Linked DNA regions of Drosophila melanogaster. The protein of the gene in region 2 purifies or fractionates together with the protein of the main gene of each other region. This does not show direct contact. Each region holds a gene or a part of one and is shown on either strand. Other genes may lie near its edges.

What was found.
Region 1: the proteins of Spc25 (region 2) and Sf3a2 purify together in Drosophila melanogaster (affinity purification with western blotting, with the first as the bait; one study listed by BioGRID). This does not show direct contact.
Region 3: the proteins of Spc25 (region 2) and Nnf1b purify together in Drosophila melanogaster (affinity purification with mass spectrometry, with the first as the bait; 2 studies listed by BioGRID). This does not show direct contact.

Annotation. Positions count from the first base shown.
Region 1 is NT_037436.4:12,811,538-12,816,362, forward strand, and holds Sf3a2 (splicing factor 3a subunit 2), read right to left. Parts: upstream 2,483-4,825; 5' UTR 2,371-2,482; coding exon 1,576-2,370; 3' UTR 1,491-1,575; downstream 1-1,490. Other genes in the region: Sap130 (Sin3A-associated protein 130), read left to right, coding at 1-51, 111-349, 413-683, 743-913, 972-1,079, 1,143-1,292; CG42588 (uncharacterized protein), read left to right, coding at 2,995-3,343, 4,662-4,825.
Region 2 is NT_033777.3:12,958,612-12,963,752, forward strand, and holds Spc25 (Spc25), read left to right. Parts: upstream 1-3,133; 5' UTR 3,134-3,224; coding exon 3,225-3,351; intron 3,352-3,414; coding exon 3,415-3,631; intron 3,632-4,105; coding exon 4,106-4,430; 3' UTR 4,431-4,638; downstream 4,639-5,141. Other genes in the region: grsm (granny smith), read right to left, coding at 461-617, 682-1,706. UniProt on the Drosophila melanogaster protein: Acts as a component of the essential kinetochore-associated Ndc80 complex, which is required for chromosome segregation and spindle checkpoint activity during meiosis and mitosis.
Region 3 is NT_033779.5:808,269-813,021, reverse strand, and holds Nnf1b (Nnf1b), read right to left. Parts: upstream 2,446-4,753; 5' UTR 2,377-2,445; coding exon 2,264-2,376; intron 2,214-2,263; coding exon 2,001-2,213; intron 1,934-2,000; coding exon 1,819-1,933; intron 1,764-1,818; coding exon 1,590-1,763; 3' UTR 1,491-1,589; downstream 1-1,490. Other genes in the region: Dbp21E2 (DEAD box protein 21E2), read right to left, coding at 1-460, 526-1,386.

The DNA.
Region 1 (4,825 bases), on a different chromosome or scaffold from region 2:
GGAGGCGCTGGTGGGCGCGATAATTCCACGCATTTTAATCCCATTAATGAGGTGTGTACACAACAATCAATATATGCTTAAGTATGGCTTTAATATTTGTTCTTCAAAAGATGTACTCATCACACCAATCGATTCAGCAGAACCTTGGTCACTCCTCACTGGGAGCCCGCAGTGGTAGCAGTGCCTTTGTGGATGTGCAAGCACCAACGCCGCAGCAACAGCAGCCTCAGCAGGTGCCTCATTTGGTGGGATCGACGCAGATGCAACAAGGAACGCGTATGAATGGTACTGGTAATAGCTCCAGCTCCAGTTATGACTGCTCCTCTAGGAAAAAGCCGCGACGATCGACGTGAGTTATTTGAGTGGTTGTATCAAATGATGCATGTTGATAATCTGATAATGTATTTGCCAGCAATGACAGCCAGCACTCTACGCAGAGTCAAGCATCCTTATCGCTGCCACCTCCAAGTTCGGAGCCAACGCCGCCGGCTGGCGCTTCGTACATGCAGAAGCACAACAATGGAGGACTACTGGTGACAGCAGCGACCCCGGGTGTTGCTCCCAACAGTGCGCCAGGCGATGCCAACCACCGGAACAGTACACCTGCTGTGGCGGGCAACAAGGAGAACGCAAATCCCGTCGACTTTGTGATTCGTCGTCCGCGCAATTGTGCTTTGCTCAATGTAAGTTGAAGGTTCAGTTCATTTTGTGGTAGTTAACAAATGATTCCGTTGATCTACAGACGTATAAGCCCACACATAAGTTGGCCAACAATCATTTTCATCGGTACACTGATGTTAAGCCAAGGGAGGAGCGGCGGGCCACAGTCATTGATCTGGCCAATCAGCCAAATGTGCAGGGCAAAATCAATGGATGGAAAATTTATCATTTACGCTCGCAAATGGAGGACTTGGTAAGCAATGGGCACGAAAGTATTGGTAGGCTACTTTGACTGAACTGATTTCTTACAGAATGAATCGGAAGTCTTTAGTCTGGGCAGGCTGGAGACCATGCTGCAGGATCTCGAAAAGGACAAGGAGAAGCACAGCGAAATTGAGCGAGTCACTGAACTGCTAAAGGTGCGCTCTTATACTTATATCCATTATGCTTGAATCTCAACATAAAACCAATTTACTTTGCAGGGAAACATTCAACGCAGCAAGATTATTACCGATGGCATCAACGAGGCACAGAATCAGTTAATGAAGATCTTCGAGCATAAGCCACACGTTTCTAATATAATCACCCGCTGCGCTTCGAAAAGGAATTTCAAGAAGCGCGAAAAGATCTAAAAGTAATTGACGAACGGAGATGGCCAGCCAAGTGTGTATTAATAAGTTGTACATTACCTAATTTAAGCAGAAATTATAGAATCCAAGATAATTACCTTAAACGCGATCGATTTGTAAGTCGTACAGCTACAAAGAAAACCAGCAATATTTTTTCAATTTATTAAGCTAGAAACACAAATACAAAAACCCTCGAGTTGTATTAAGTAGAAAATTGTTTATTATTTGAATATTTCTGTGGTAATCGGCTTGCGTTTGGAGAAATCCCGTAAACATTGTCGATGAATTAGTTGTTTGAAAGCATGGGTGGCGGTGGATGAACGCCATTGAACATGGGATGCATAGCAGGACGTGGCGGTCCCGGCATGGGGAATCCGCCTGGGGGGCCTAGTGCCCTATGTAGATTCGGCGGCGGTGGCGGCAGGATCTTAGGTTCGAACTTGAAGGCGAACTGAAGGAAGAACTGCTTGGTGTCACGGTTCCAGTGCGTCCAGAACTTGCCCTCACTCTTCTCCACTTCGCGGGACGGCACCTTGAACCCTATGGTCTCGTACGGCTCGGCGGCAAAGAGAAGGTACTGCCACTTGCGGTCTGGCGGCTCGATCTTTTGCTCGTAGGCGGACATGAAGCGGTGACGCGGAACAATGGACTCCGTGATTTCCGGGTAGTCCACCTGAAAGAGCAACGACTGCTGGCCGTTGCTGAGTTCACGCTGCTTGGTCACCCGGTAGCCGGGTCGTCCAATCTTGACGAACTTCTTCGGTTCCACGCGGGGCTTCTCGGGCGCCAGCAGCGAAGAGGGTGCCTCCTTTGCCTCCTTGGCGGCTCTTCTTGCCAGATTATCCTGATGCTTCTTGCCCTGCGTGTGGGCCAAATAGCTGCCCTCGTTGTTGTGCAGCGTCAGGCAGAGTTTGCACTCGTAGGAGCCCAGATGGTTCTTCATGAAGTACGGATCCTTGTTCAGATCGATTGTCTCCAGGGCCAGTTGACGCAGTCGCTCCTTGCGGTCGCGGTTCGTCTCCGACCAGGAGGCTACGCCTCCGCTGCCGGTCTTGCCGCCGGCGCGGTTTTGGAAGTCCATTTTGTAAACTTTATTTTAGTTTTCAACCGCACGAAGGAAAAACGTTTTGCGTTGGTAAAATTTCATGAAAATTTGTTGTACAGAACAGGGTTGTCAAGAAACGCCAATTCGGTTAGGGGTGGTAGTTTATCAGAGTCAATCGATAGTTCGTGTGCAGGATTAAAGTATTAAATAAATAATAGAATGTTTCATAAATCCATTAAAATTCTTAATGATAGTCAAATTTTTGCAAACTGTAATATACATAAAATAACTTATATATTCCTTTTGCGATGTTTTTTTAAAGAATTACATATAATATTTTGGTATATTTTCGTTCCGAAGCTTTGAGAATATTTTACTTTTTCAAAGCGGTCACACTATTAATTCGAGCTGCACATGCTTGATCTTTTTTAGAATTTAAAAAGTGAAAAATGTCTAGACAGCGATCTAAACTAAAGTAAACTAGTGTTGGTGACAAGTACTAGGCCTCGAAAAGCGTGTTTTATTTAAATGTCACTGCGTGGATTACGTCGGACTTGAGAAAAATCGAAGCAACGAGTGTTTAAGAATTTCGATTTCTGTCGTCATTTTCGTGGAATAAACAGTGCCAGTGTCTTATGCGATTTTTAAAGTAACCGCGAAATGGACAACTCCAGCAAACAGGTCATCATGGGTCCACCGGCGCCAATGACCACCACTTCTAATCAACCGAAGCCCGGTAATCCCACCAGCGCCCCTCCTCCACACGCCACCAAAACTGCTGCAGCTCCGCCCAAGCGAATAATTAAGAAGATTCAGCTGGATTTCAACAAGCTCAAGGAGGCTGGACTCGATAGGCAGCTGGCCGAGGTGCTTAGGAAGCAGAAGCTGGATGCCAAGAGGGTGGACGCCCCATCGTCCACCAGTCTTTCCACCTCTGCCGCAGCGCAGTCGACGCCAACTGCGCCAGAGAGCAAATTGCAGTCGCCACAACAACAATTGCGTCAGCCTGGTAATGCATACTTGTATATATATATATTTGCTTTAAGCTGTGCATCGCCCAAAAAACCGTTACAAACCCAGGGGTTTTGTACCAAGTGATACGAAAATCGTCTAAATGCTTCTACGAGTTTTGGGCACAGTACCGAAAACCAAAACGATGGTGCAACTGATTGAGACGCCGACAGATTGTCAAAGAGTTAGTTTTTGTATTAATTGTTCTGAGTTCGTCTCGCAGTGAGTGCGGCGCCTTCACTTTCTTTTCGTGTATCTCGATATATTTTATTTTTTACGTATTTCGAATGGCAACCTAAAATAATTTTTTTTAGTTTAAAAAAGTCTATTTTTGTTAAAAATTCAGGTCTATAGGTTAGAAATATTAGGATGGCTAACCATCTGTATCTGTATCTGAACATCTACAATATGTTCACTTGTCAAACAGGACGTTATTATTTCCAAAACATACTGCCAATAAAATTTATATTGAATAACATAATTTGGTATTTAATTATTTAAAACGATCGATATTTTAATAAGCCAAGAGAATCACATGTTTTACAAGGATATTTTATGTATATTTTAATATTCTTTTAATAAATAAATTTAAAAAACCAAAAAAAAATTAATTCGGGACATTTAGATTAGTTGGTACTTTTCTTTGAAATGAGATGAAATATACTGCTAATACTAGAACACTTCAATATTTTTGTCGTTGTTGTTAAATGTAACACAAAAAGTTTTTAACGAAAACTTTTTTTTAAATTTTAACAATTGAATAATGAGTTTAATCAATAATCATTTAATTTTTGTTGTTGTGTGATAGAGTACTAACTACGTAAAGCCATAAATTATGAAAATTTAATTGGTCAAAAGCAAATAAAATTTTACACTTAATTGTAAAATAGGGATAATGAGCTTAATTCATAAATATGATACCCTTGAAAGGGTAAATATTTTTTTTGACTACTCGTCTGGCAAACTAGATTCAAGACCCACTCGTGCCACAACAATTCGTACTCTTTCGGTGGTTCAATCGTCAAGTGCGCGCTCAAAATGAGGTTAGGGACGAAGCGTCGATGCGAGGCAACATAATTCCCTTTTTGGCCCGGGTTCAAATCCCATTGCGGTCAAACTGCCGTTTGTGTGTGCGATTGTTTTTGCTAATACATGCTCTATATGGTTTTATTTAATGTTTGCTTTAACAATGAATTGCATCTTTTATGTATAAGATGGCTTATTTCGCTTTAAAACTGTGCTCCTTTAACTTTGCTCCTAAGTTCTTCTGCTTATAGTTTCCTTTATTAATTATGTTTCACTTTTATAATTTTTAGCACCTCAGCCTCTAGTAAAGCGTTTTATGATCTCGGAACACATCGAGAAGATAGTGCCCATCCAGCCGACTCCAAATCCAACGGATGGTGACCGTTCCAAACAAGTGAAGGCGCTATTAAAGAACAGAATACTAAACAAGAGCTTAATCACGAACACGCAGGCT
Region 2 (5,141 bases):
GACACCGGCAACATCATTTGCTGCCTGCATTAGTGGCAAAAATGTGAATTCAATCCCAGTGAATTGTTGCCTTTAATGCGATTAAAAGTGACAGAAAGGCCAACTTGCCAACTTGGCAAATAATTGTAGCCTAGCGGGTACAAATCAGTCCATGAAGCTGATAGTTTCAGTAAATATCACTCTCTACATTATTCAATGAAATCTATTACATTGTGCTGTAAATGTGGTAATTGAATGAGTTCATTGTTGTAGTCTGACTTTCGATGAATAGGGAAACCAAATATAATTCAAACCCAATTCTATATATGCTTGACCTAAATCCTAAGTGCGATCTAATTGTAAACAATAATCAAACATTCCCACGCTAGAACAAATTTAATTGATATAATAAACAAAAATCACGTGTTGGGCACATTTTTATCAAAACAGGGCGCTATGCTAGCTTTATAGAATGCCTTACCTGTGCTCCAGTCAATGTGGCCATGTCGAGAATAATGTTGGCCTTCAGATCCTTGTTGGCGTAGCAAACGCCATCGGCGAGCACCAAGCGACCCTCGGCATCCGTGTTATTGATCTCCACTGTGCGGCCCGAGTAAAGGGTGTGAATGTCATCGGGGCTGCAAAGTAAACGCATTAGTATTTAACTGATCCATTGAATGCTAAACTAAGGGCAAAACCCACCGAGTGGCATTTGGTCCGACAGAGTTCTCCGCCAAGCAGAAGACGGCATGCAAGTTATCCCTAAATCCACACTGGACAGCCGCGTAAAAGGTTCCGAGAATCGCCGCCGCTCCGCCGCAATCGCGCTTCATGCCGGGCATGCCGGTCTTGGCCTTGATGCTGAGGCCACCGGTGTCGTAGACGATGCCCTTGCCGACCAGAGCGATAGTCTCCTGGGCGCCCTTTGGCTCATGGGAGAGCACAACGAGGGCAGGCGGCACAGCCGCAGCTTTGCCCACGCCGTAAATGCCGCCAAATCCTTGCTCCAGCAGCTCCTCGCCACGGATTACTTTTGGCGTAATGCACAGCTCCCTGCCCACATCCTCAACTTCCTGGATGAAGTGGTCCACGTTCATTTCGTTGCAGGGCATATCTACAATGCGAGCAGTCATTCGAATTGCCCGTGTGGTCTCATTCAGGCAATTTAGCTCGTCGTCTGTCAAAGGCTCGCTCTCAATGCAGCCATCCTTGTTGATTAGCACAAACTCAACATTGACTACGTTGCGTCCTGAATTTGCGTTTCCATCTCCACATCCAAGATTTAGCTTTGGCTGACTTGAGGCCAGCAGATTGCCCGTTTTGCGGGAATAGAGTGGAAAAGCGCGAACCACCGCACAGGCGCTGGCGAATAGATTCTCTCGTTCGCAGACGAGCACCACGCTCTCCTCGGAAACGTTCAGCACATGGTTCTTTACCAGACGAGTGATGGCATGAGCCCGGGATGCCGTATTGTGTCGGGATGCCTTCAATGGCAGGGCAGCCACGGTGGCCACATCGAGATAGAGGGATACCTTATCGGTGGGCGCGGGATGCAGACAAGCGACGGCATTCAGGAAGGTCTCCTCGGTGACGCGCGGACTGAGTTTGCTCTCCAGATGACTGAACTTCAGTAGGTTTAGATGGCGCAGCTGGCCGATGATCAGGACCGGATGTGTCTGCGGATCACTGCAGCCTAGCGACTCGTTAAACTTTACGTCCGTGGCCATCTGTAAGAGAATGTGTGTGCGAATGAGTAAAGAATGGAATGGCTAGCCAAATCCCAGTGATAAGCCGCCGGTATTATCTTATCGGTGCTAATCTGGTGTTTAGCGCTCCAAGTGCCCCACTTGCTTATCAGTCGACGACTTTGCACCACAGGGGCGGTCAATGGATGCAGCCATCCATAAATCACGAGAGCCAAAACCGGCGAGATAAGCAGTGGCATTTGGGTTATGGGTAGGGCCATCTGGACAAACACAGGGGCGTTACTCATCGGTTGCAAGCGGATGCAACGCTGTAGGGGAAGTTTAAGAATAGCTGACCCATATTAGAATGGCTCAATTAAAGTAGCTCCATTGTGAAAAATACTGCAGTATAATTTTATAACTAAAATTCTAATAAAAAACAATCAATCAATAATTATGTTTACAACTAAAAAGCATTGGGTTCATAAAATGAAGCTTCAAAAGAAAAAAATTACCTCTAAAATATTTTAACTATAATAATCACCTAATATACATAAATATAAATTGTATTGCATTTATAATGAACAAATTAAGATAAATTGTAGTAGCAATATGAATTCTAATAATTTACATAACATTTTCTGAGTTTTAGCGAATATTAGAAAATCTTATAAAATCAAATAACGTTTTTTTTTACAAATTATTAATTTTAATATATTTTGGTACAATAACTTAACTAAGTAGTTAACATTTTCAACTTAAAGCCATCAATTTTCCAGCTTTACAGTCGCAAGGCAATAAAAACATAAACTACCGAAAAGATATCGTTCAGCACATATCTTTACGATGCTCCATAAACTCGCATGGGTTTTATAAGCACGATATCATTGTGCATAAAGCGATTTAAGTTTCTTAAAATCGCAAATGCCACATGACCTTGAATTCGGTGCAACAAGAACAACAAGTGGGTCGTTGACCGACTCGCAGCATTCGAAACCGAAAAGTGGATAAACATCTAATTTACCCATTTTCAATTGGATTTGACTGGACACTCGATATGTAGAAATATTATGCAAATTCTATATTCTCTATTTTTAGACTCTTTGTTCGCGATTTCTTCGTTTGCAAAGCGTTTTTTGCACATTTTCTGCCTTTTTATTCGCTCACCTTTTTGAAGCGGGCGCTGCTGTAGGTGCGAGCGAGATGGTTGCGTATTGCCTGGACGCAGAGCAGCAAACGCATGAAGTGCCTGCTTCAGAAATTGCACAAAAATTTGCCAAAAGTGCCGACGTTTTATTTTTATTTTATTTTGCTGCCAATTTGACTTGCAATTTTTTGCTTGCCGGCTAATAGAGATGTGACTTGCACGACGATAAGTCGATGTCAGCTATCGATAAGTGCAGAACCACTTTTTTCTTTCAGCCTGGCCACCCTGCTGGTGTCGTGGAAGTGTCATCCCTAATGAGAAGTACCACCACTAACTGGAAAGCAAAACAAGCGTCTGGAAAACGGCGCTTAGTTTTTAAAGATTTTAATTGATTGCAGTAAATTGAGTTTAAAATGGCAATTATTATGACTGAATCGAGTTACGAAAGGCGCGTAAAGGCTTTGTACGAAAAACAAATTCACATGGAAGCCCTCGAGGCGAAATTCATCAAAAAGGTCTTTAAATTCAACAGCAATTTGTGTGAGTTGGAATTTATCTCCATATATCTCCATTTCAATTGATATATTTCACTAAATATTTTAGTGGATGTCAAGGAAGCAGCTTCGCGCCATCAGCGGAAAGTGGGAAAGTTGCAAAAAGTGCTCATGGAGCGGCGGGAGGAGTTGGACAAGCGAGTTTCCTTCATAGAGGAACTTGATCGAGAACTGGAGGCCACCAAACTTCACAATTTGGCCATGAAAGATTGGTTTAAACAGCAGAAAATGCTGGCCAAACAGCGCAAAAACGAAATCATGGAAAGGTCAGGGATTAGGTCAAAGATAATCATATTAAGATTTTCTTAGCACGAATGGCTAGCTAATATTTTCCGGGCTCCAATGGGTTCGATCTTGTCCTTATTATACATAAAAATGACTATTCATATTGATTTTTAGTCCATCCAAAACTACTATTGGTACAAATATATGTATATGACAATAATGTATTGTCAACATTTATGGTCTTTACATGCGTACAAGTTGCAGTGAGAGACTAATCAAATACTTTATTTACTTTAACTAAATCTATTAGGAGCATCATCAAAGTCTATAAACTGCAAATAATAGATATAGTTGAGGTCGTGTTCCAAATAACTTATTTAGCTTACATACATAATTTATTTGCATAGCCTCACATGCGCTCTTATTTTTCAAACAAATCCGATTTTAATGCGGTCAGTTTTAAACTTAGTATACTATAATGAGAGCAATGTGTGTTTATTTGTTTTATTTTATAGCATTCACACGCTGTCGAAGACAACAAGAACCTATATAAATCAAGAAGCGCTGCCGGCACGTGTGAAGGGTGTCACTGTACTCCGTGGCGATAAACGCGACCAGTTGATACCCTTTGATCTGAAGGCGACCGATGTGGAAGGACTGGACTCACTGTGTCAGCATCTCGAGAGTCTAAATGTGGACGTGGCGCAGTGGCAGCAGCTTATCTCGCTGGCCATGGACATGGCTATGGAGTCACGTGCTCCCACTACTCCGCCCAAGGAAGCAGACAATTGCAAGTCTATAATCGAGATTGATCTCACATCGCCGATGAGCCACACCTGACTTCCGATTAACTGATTTACTTGGATTAGGGGGAAGACCCTTTTCCAATGGAGCACTTTATTTTAGCATTATAAATAGTTGGCTTCCAATAAAAGCTCAATTGGGAATTCATCTTAACGAATTAAGCATCTTATTATAGCAGTTTTTTAGCCATTTAAGTACTGCTTGTAATTGTTTAAGTGCAGTGTAAATTATACATATATCTCCCAAAATTTTTTTTTTTTTCTTTTTTCTGATATATCATCTTCACTGGAAGCTTAAAAATTTTTAGAGATATCGCCAAAGAAGAGATATCGCGAAAGGCTCCAGTTTAAGTAGTTCCAATTCAAACTTATTCAAATTAAAAACCAGTTATTGAATTTATTTTAAATCAAAAGTCTTCTTATCATATTTAACCAAATTTACAACTTTAGTGATAATTATATCATAAATTTGGTTTAATGAGTTCTCTATTACTATAAGGTTTTATATATATTTCAAATGTTTGGGTAATTTCCTTATAACTATATCAGAACAAGACCTGTTTTATTAAACACCTTTCTTTAAGATTTGTATGATTATCTGAGAGCTTTTGACATGGCGGCCGGTGTTAATCGAGAAATCTCGAAAGTCACAAGCGACTCAGAGTGCCACCGACTAACCGATCTATGAATAAACAGCGATCCATATAGATTGGCGCTGCTCAATTGCTATTGTCCGGCGAAAGTTAGA
Region 3 (4,753 bases), on a different chromosome or scaffold from region 2:
AGTTGACCACATGTCGAGCTCGTGTGGTATCCAGGCCACGACTTCCCACATCGGTGGTGGAAAGGACGTCGCAGTGACCGTTTTGGAACTGCTCGAAGCGGCCAAGACGGATCTTCATCAGCATATCCCCATTCAGATTTAAGCAGTTCACTCCGCTGTTGTTCAGGAAGATGGAAACGAAGTCACTGGTGGTGGACTTGTTGCTGAACACGATAAGAGGGCGACGTTTGGCAAGATCATGCTTCACGAGTGACAGAAGTGTGGCGGGCCGATCGGCCTTCGACAGCCGCAGGAACTTCTGCGTCACATGAGACATCAGTCGGTGCAGGTGCGGACTGACGACCTCACGGATGGTGTCCACGTCTATGACTTTGTGAAGGATCTCTCTGGTGTTCGTGGGCATGGTGGCCGAGGCCAGGATCATCTGGGTGCCAGCATCCTCCTTTTGCACCAAGTGGAACTGTCGAATAAGAAAAAACAAGCTGATTGAAGCCATTCCTTTGGTAATCGCCTAGAATGACTTACGGGAAATCTCCTGAGGAAGTAGGAAAGTTTGTCTGTGAACGTATCATCTAGGAGGGTGTCCGCTTCGTCTAGAACCAGATGACGAACCTGCTCCATGCGGTAGATGCCAGTGGTCACCAGTTTGCTAAGTGCACCCAGAGTGGCGACCAGTATGTCCACCTCCTCGAACTGTGGGTTCATCATAAGCTGCTTGGTATTGCCGCCAAGTAAAGATTGCACTTTGAGATTGGTGCCCTGGGTGAGCTTCTCCGTGACCCCAGCAATCTGCGTGGCTAGTTCTCTGCCGGGAGTGAGGATCAAGACACGGGGGGTGTTGAGTTTTCGTTCGGTGACCACTTCTTTCTGGAGGAGTTTGTCTACGATAGGCAGGAGATATGTAATTGTTTTTCCACACCCAGTTTCAGCGGCAATGAGGCAGTGCTCATTTCCATGGACAACGGGCATTCCCTGTTTTTGGATTCCCGTCAGTAATTTGATGCCCAGCTCGACTCGCAAGTTCTCAAGGAGTTGCGGATGAATCTGCATCCCCGTGCTCTCGAGGAACTCATCGACGGTCTGCATTTCCTGCTGGAGTTCCTCACCTCGCACGCTGGCGTTCAGGATGAAGAAGTCTCCCTTGGATTTGTTGTGCAGCCAGCCCTTGGAGGCCAGCGAAAGACTCCCAAACTTGGCATCCGTCTGCTCGTATTGGGTTAAATCGAACTGGCTTCTTCTGCAGGAGATTAGGGGCTCCCCCTTCTGCTTTTTGCCCTTGGACTTTGCCTTTGGTGGCTTCGTCTTAACTGCCGCCGCCGCCGCTGTGGCATATGAAGCCACATGGCGCGATGATTGCACCCGGAGCACCACGGACAAGTTCAGCATGCTTTCGGAATATTATTCAATGTTTTTCATTTGCCGGCAAGTCAGCTGTGCACACGCATCGAAGTGTTGGAAAGCGCCGCTCGAATTCAATGCCACTTGTGGCGGTAAGTTTGAAATTCATATTTATTTCAAGACCCAGCAACTAATATAATAATAATAATAATAATAATAATAATAATAATAATCTGTTTTTTTTTATAAAATTACATTTCTTCCTGCACATACGAATCATTTATTAGCCGTTCCATTTCCATTAACTGTGGCTTAATGGCCTGGTACTCGGCCAACTGCTGCTTCATCATACATCCCACTTTCACCCGTTCAGCGTGGACATCATGTATAAGCTGTCGATTTTTAATGCTTTTGGCCATAGCAATCTAAAATCGAAGTAATCCAAGTATTACTTAATTCTTCGGAGGTTGAAATACATACCTCGAGTTCCTTTTCCTGTTTCTTAAGCTGTTGCTCCATGAATGTGATGCTTAGATTCAAGTTGTGCATGCGCAGAGGGCGAGTAAGTTCCTCAGGGGACAGACAGTTGAAGTTCCTGCGGATTTACGTTAAAAACCATGGAAAGTGCTGCTGGACAACCAAATTCAAAACCATTCACTAACCAGTTCTTGCCCTCGTGGGCGGCAAACTGCTCCTTAAGCATTTCCAGCGTGGTCAGCTTGGTCTCCACGTCGTTGCCGGAGAAGAAGCACTGGTTCACATCCAGGACGATCTTGGTCATAAGCCGACGGGTGCTGTGGATTATTTGCTCGGTGTCCAGGCTCGTGGATTCGTGCTCCTCGAGGATGGAGGCACACGACTCAAGATCTGAGGAGCTAAGCAATAGTAAGCGTTTGGTCAATCTTTTAATCAGCCATTCTCCTACTTTAAATCCGAGAAGATCTGTCCAATGGCTTCCTCGTAGGCCTGCTTCACCTGTGGAATGACAGCCTGGAGCCGTTTGAAGGCTGCTTCGGTGTCCTCTTCAATATTATTCATACTTTTAACACAATTCTGGCAAAATAATAATTACAAGCAAAACTTGGCGACCGAAAACATATGTGACCATTTACAGATAGGTTGTGAATACCAACCCCTATATGACATGATTGTAGGTATAGGGTATTCGAGCTGCTTTCAATTATGATAACATATATATTGTATAAATTATTTTAAACAACGGTTATTGGCTAATTGGTTAAATTCAAGCATCAAATCTGGTAAGTTGGCATTACTTCGAAAACACTCAATATAACATTGAACTCATTTTTTACGCCACATTCAGAGTGTATTTCTCGAACTGAATTACACAACTTTTCACATGTCGCATCGGCGAAGGAACTTGCAACTAACACTCAATAACTGCACTTTTCAGTTTCCCCGAAAGTTGTGCTTTCACTGCAGTTTGCCACATCGGGAAAACTTGCCACAATGGAATTTCCTTTTATCTCCGCTCTTTCGAGAGGGTTTTTAATTTGTGCAACGTTTTGGGCAAATTGTTGAGGCGGGGACGCAGTTTTTAATATGTTTTGAGTAATTTGTGCGCATTTGCGAATTTTTATCGCAGTCACAAAAGTTTGTCCTTTGTGCTCCTTATCGTGTGCTCCTCGTTGGCGCGGTTGTAATGATGACTTTATGACTTTATTTACGTGCAATAAAGGAAGCATTCTGCGGCAAACTCAGGTTTAAGCATCACCGAGCCACTACTTTCGAATATAAATGCGATCCAGGTTAATTTATTCGCTCGCCGGGTCCGGCATTTCCATTATTTTCCGGGTCCGAAAAGGAACTCAGCTGTGGAGTAGGCAGAATTCGAAATGTGCTCTCCCCTGCACAGGAAAAATCATTTCGACATCAATCTTATAACGACCCATAAATGCCACAAAAATGAAAAGGTGGAAAGTTCGAAATTGTTACCCGGAAAACATTGTTACCCATGGGACATACATGTTTTTCAAAACTTGGTGCATACTTTCAGGCACCATTAAGTGAGATTTGAAAAACCCACTAGCATCTTCTCCGTTTCGATACACATTTTCTCTTTGTGTGGCCCGGATCTCAGATATGCTAAATCCCGGCCAGAATCCTGAGCTGTCCCCTCCAGGAACAGAAGCAGAATCAGGAGGCGTGCCAGTCGGTGGCCGTGTTAACATGCATGTGCCACTCTGCCGCATGTCTTGCTAAAACTCGGCTCCGAATTTGCATTTCAATGATTAAAGTGTTAAAATGCCGGCCGACACATGCGGACTGTTCAGGAACCACCGCCCAGGATCCACCCGCCTTCGTCCTTCGGATAGTTGGTAATGGCTTTATAAAGCGAACACCTCAAGCAAGATGCGATTTTAATATTCTTATTCTCGTGCACATGGTGTGAAAAACTTGGAGATGTTGACTTTTTGTGGTGCGACTGGTATGCAAATGAGCCTAAATTCTGAGACAAAGTTTTGCATACTTTTCTGAATTCTGAATTCTGAATTATACCAATCCAAATAACTATGCATTTCTCACACTGTTTGCGCTTGTCCTGCTCAAAAGAGAGAATATGCTTTCCCCGAAAGTCTTCTCTTTAATTAGTGAAAATGTTAAGTTCTGAAAAAATACTTCTTCTTAATAAACTCATATCACTTACCTAGAAACCCTTTGAGAAAGTTATTCCTCTGAGTTTCCATATAACATAAAGCAATCAGTTCTTGAGCAAAGTTCAGCTGTATCTCGAGGAAAGAAGAAACTTTTGGATATTCAATTCCGAGCGTTCGTGTCTGATCCTTTGACGTCAGATTGCTAAAAAGTTATTCGAGTTTTATTTTACTAATCAGAAAGTCTCGTGTCGTCCTGTCAAGGGTTTCTCCTGCTACAAATTGGATAAATCACTTGGCTCTAATTGATGCTCCATTTTGCCAGTGGGCGAAATTCTGGTCAAATTCCAATCAAGTCAACGCCATCTGCACTGAAAGAAACACTTATCCTTTTAGGCTTCTAAACGTACATTGTTGTTTTCTTAGTTTAAGAACATCAGTGTGTTATAACCATTTGCTGATAGTGTTATCATCACCTTGATTATGCGCTATTTAAATATCGATGAGAAGCGGATATGTTGGCTTGGCTCTGATCTGTTCGTCCTGTGTGCAACAGTGGGTCCTGGCTGGCAGCGGCAGCCGTCGCTTGGCGACACTTGCGGGCGTGACAGGAATGGAGAACCACTGGGAAAATACCAGTGGTGGGAGGGGGTGTGGGGCTGGGGGAGCGGTGCGTCAGCCGCAGTGCGTGAAATGCATTTAAAATTTTCGCTGCATACTTGTCGCCTCGAATTACAGCGCATTTGTCGAGTGGTGCTTTGTGCTTTGTTCGTGAATTTGGGAGCTGCATTCGCATGCAA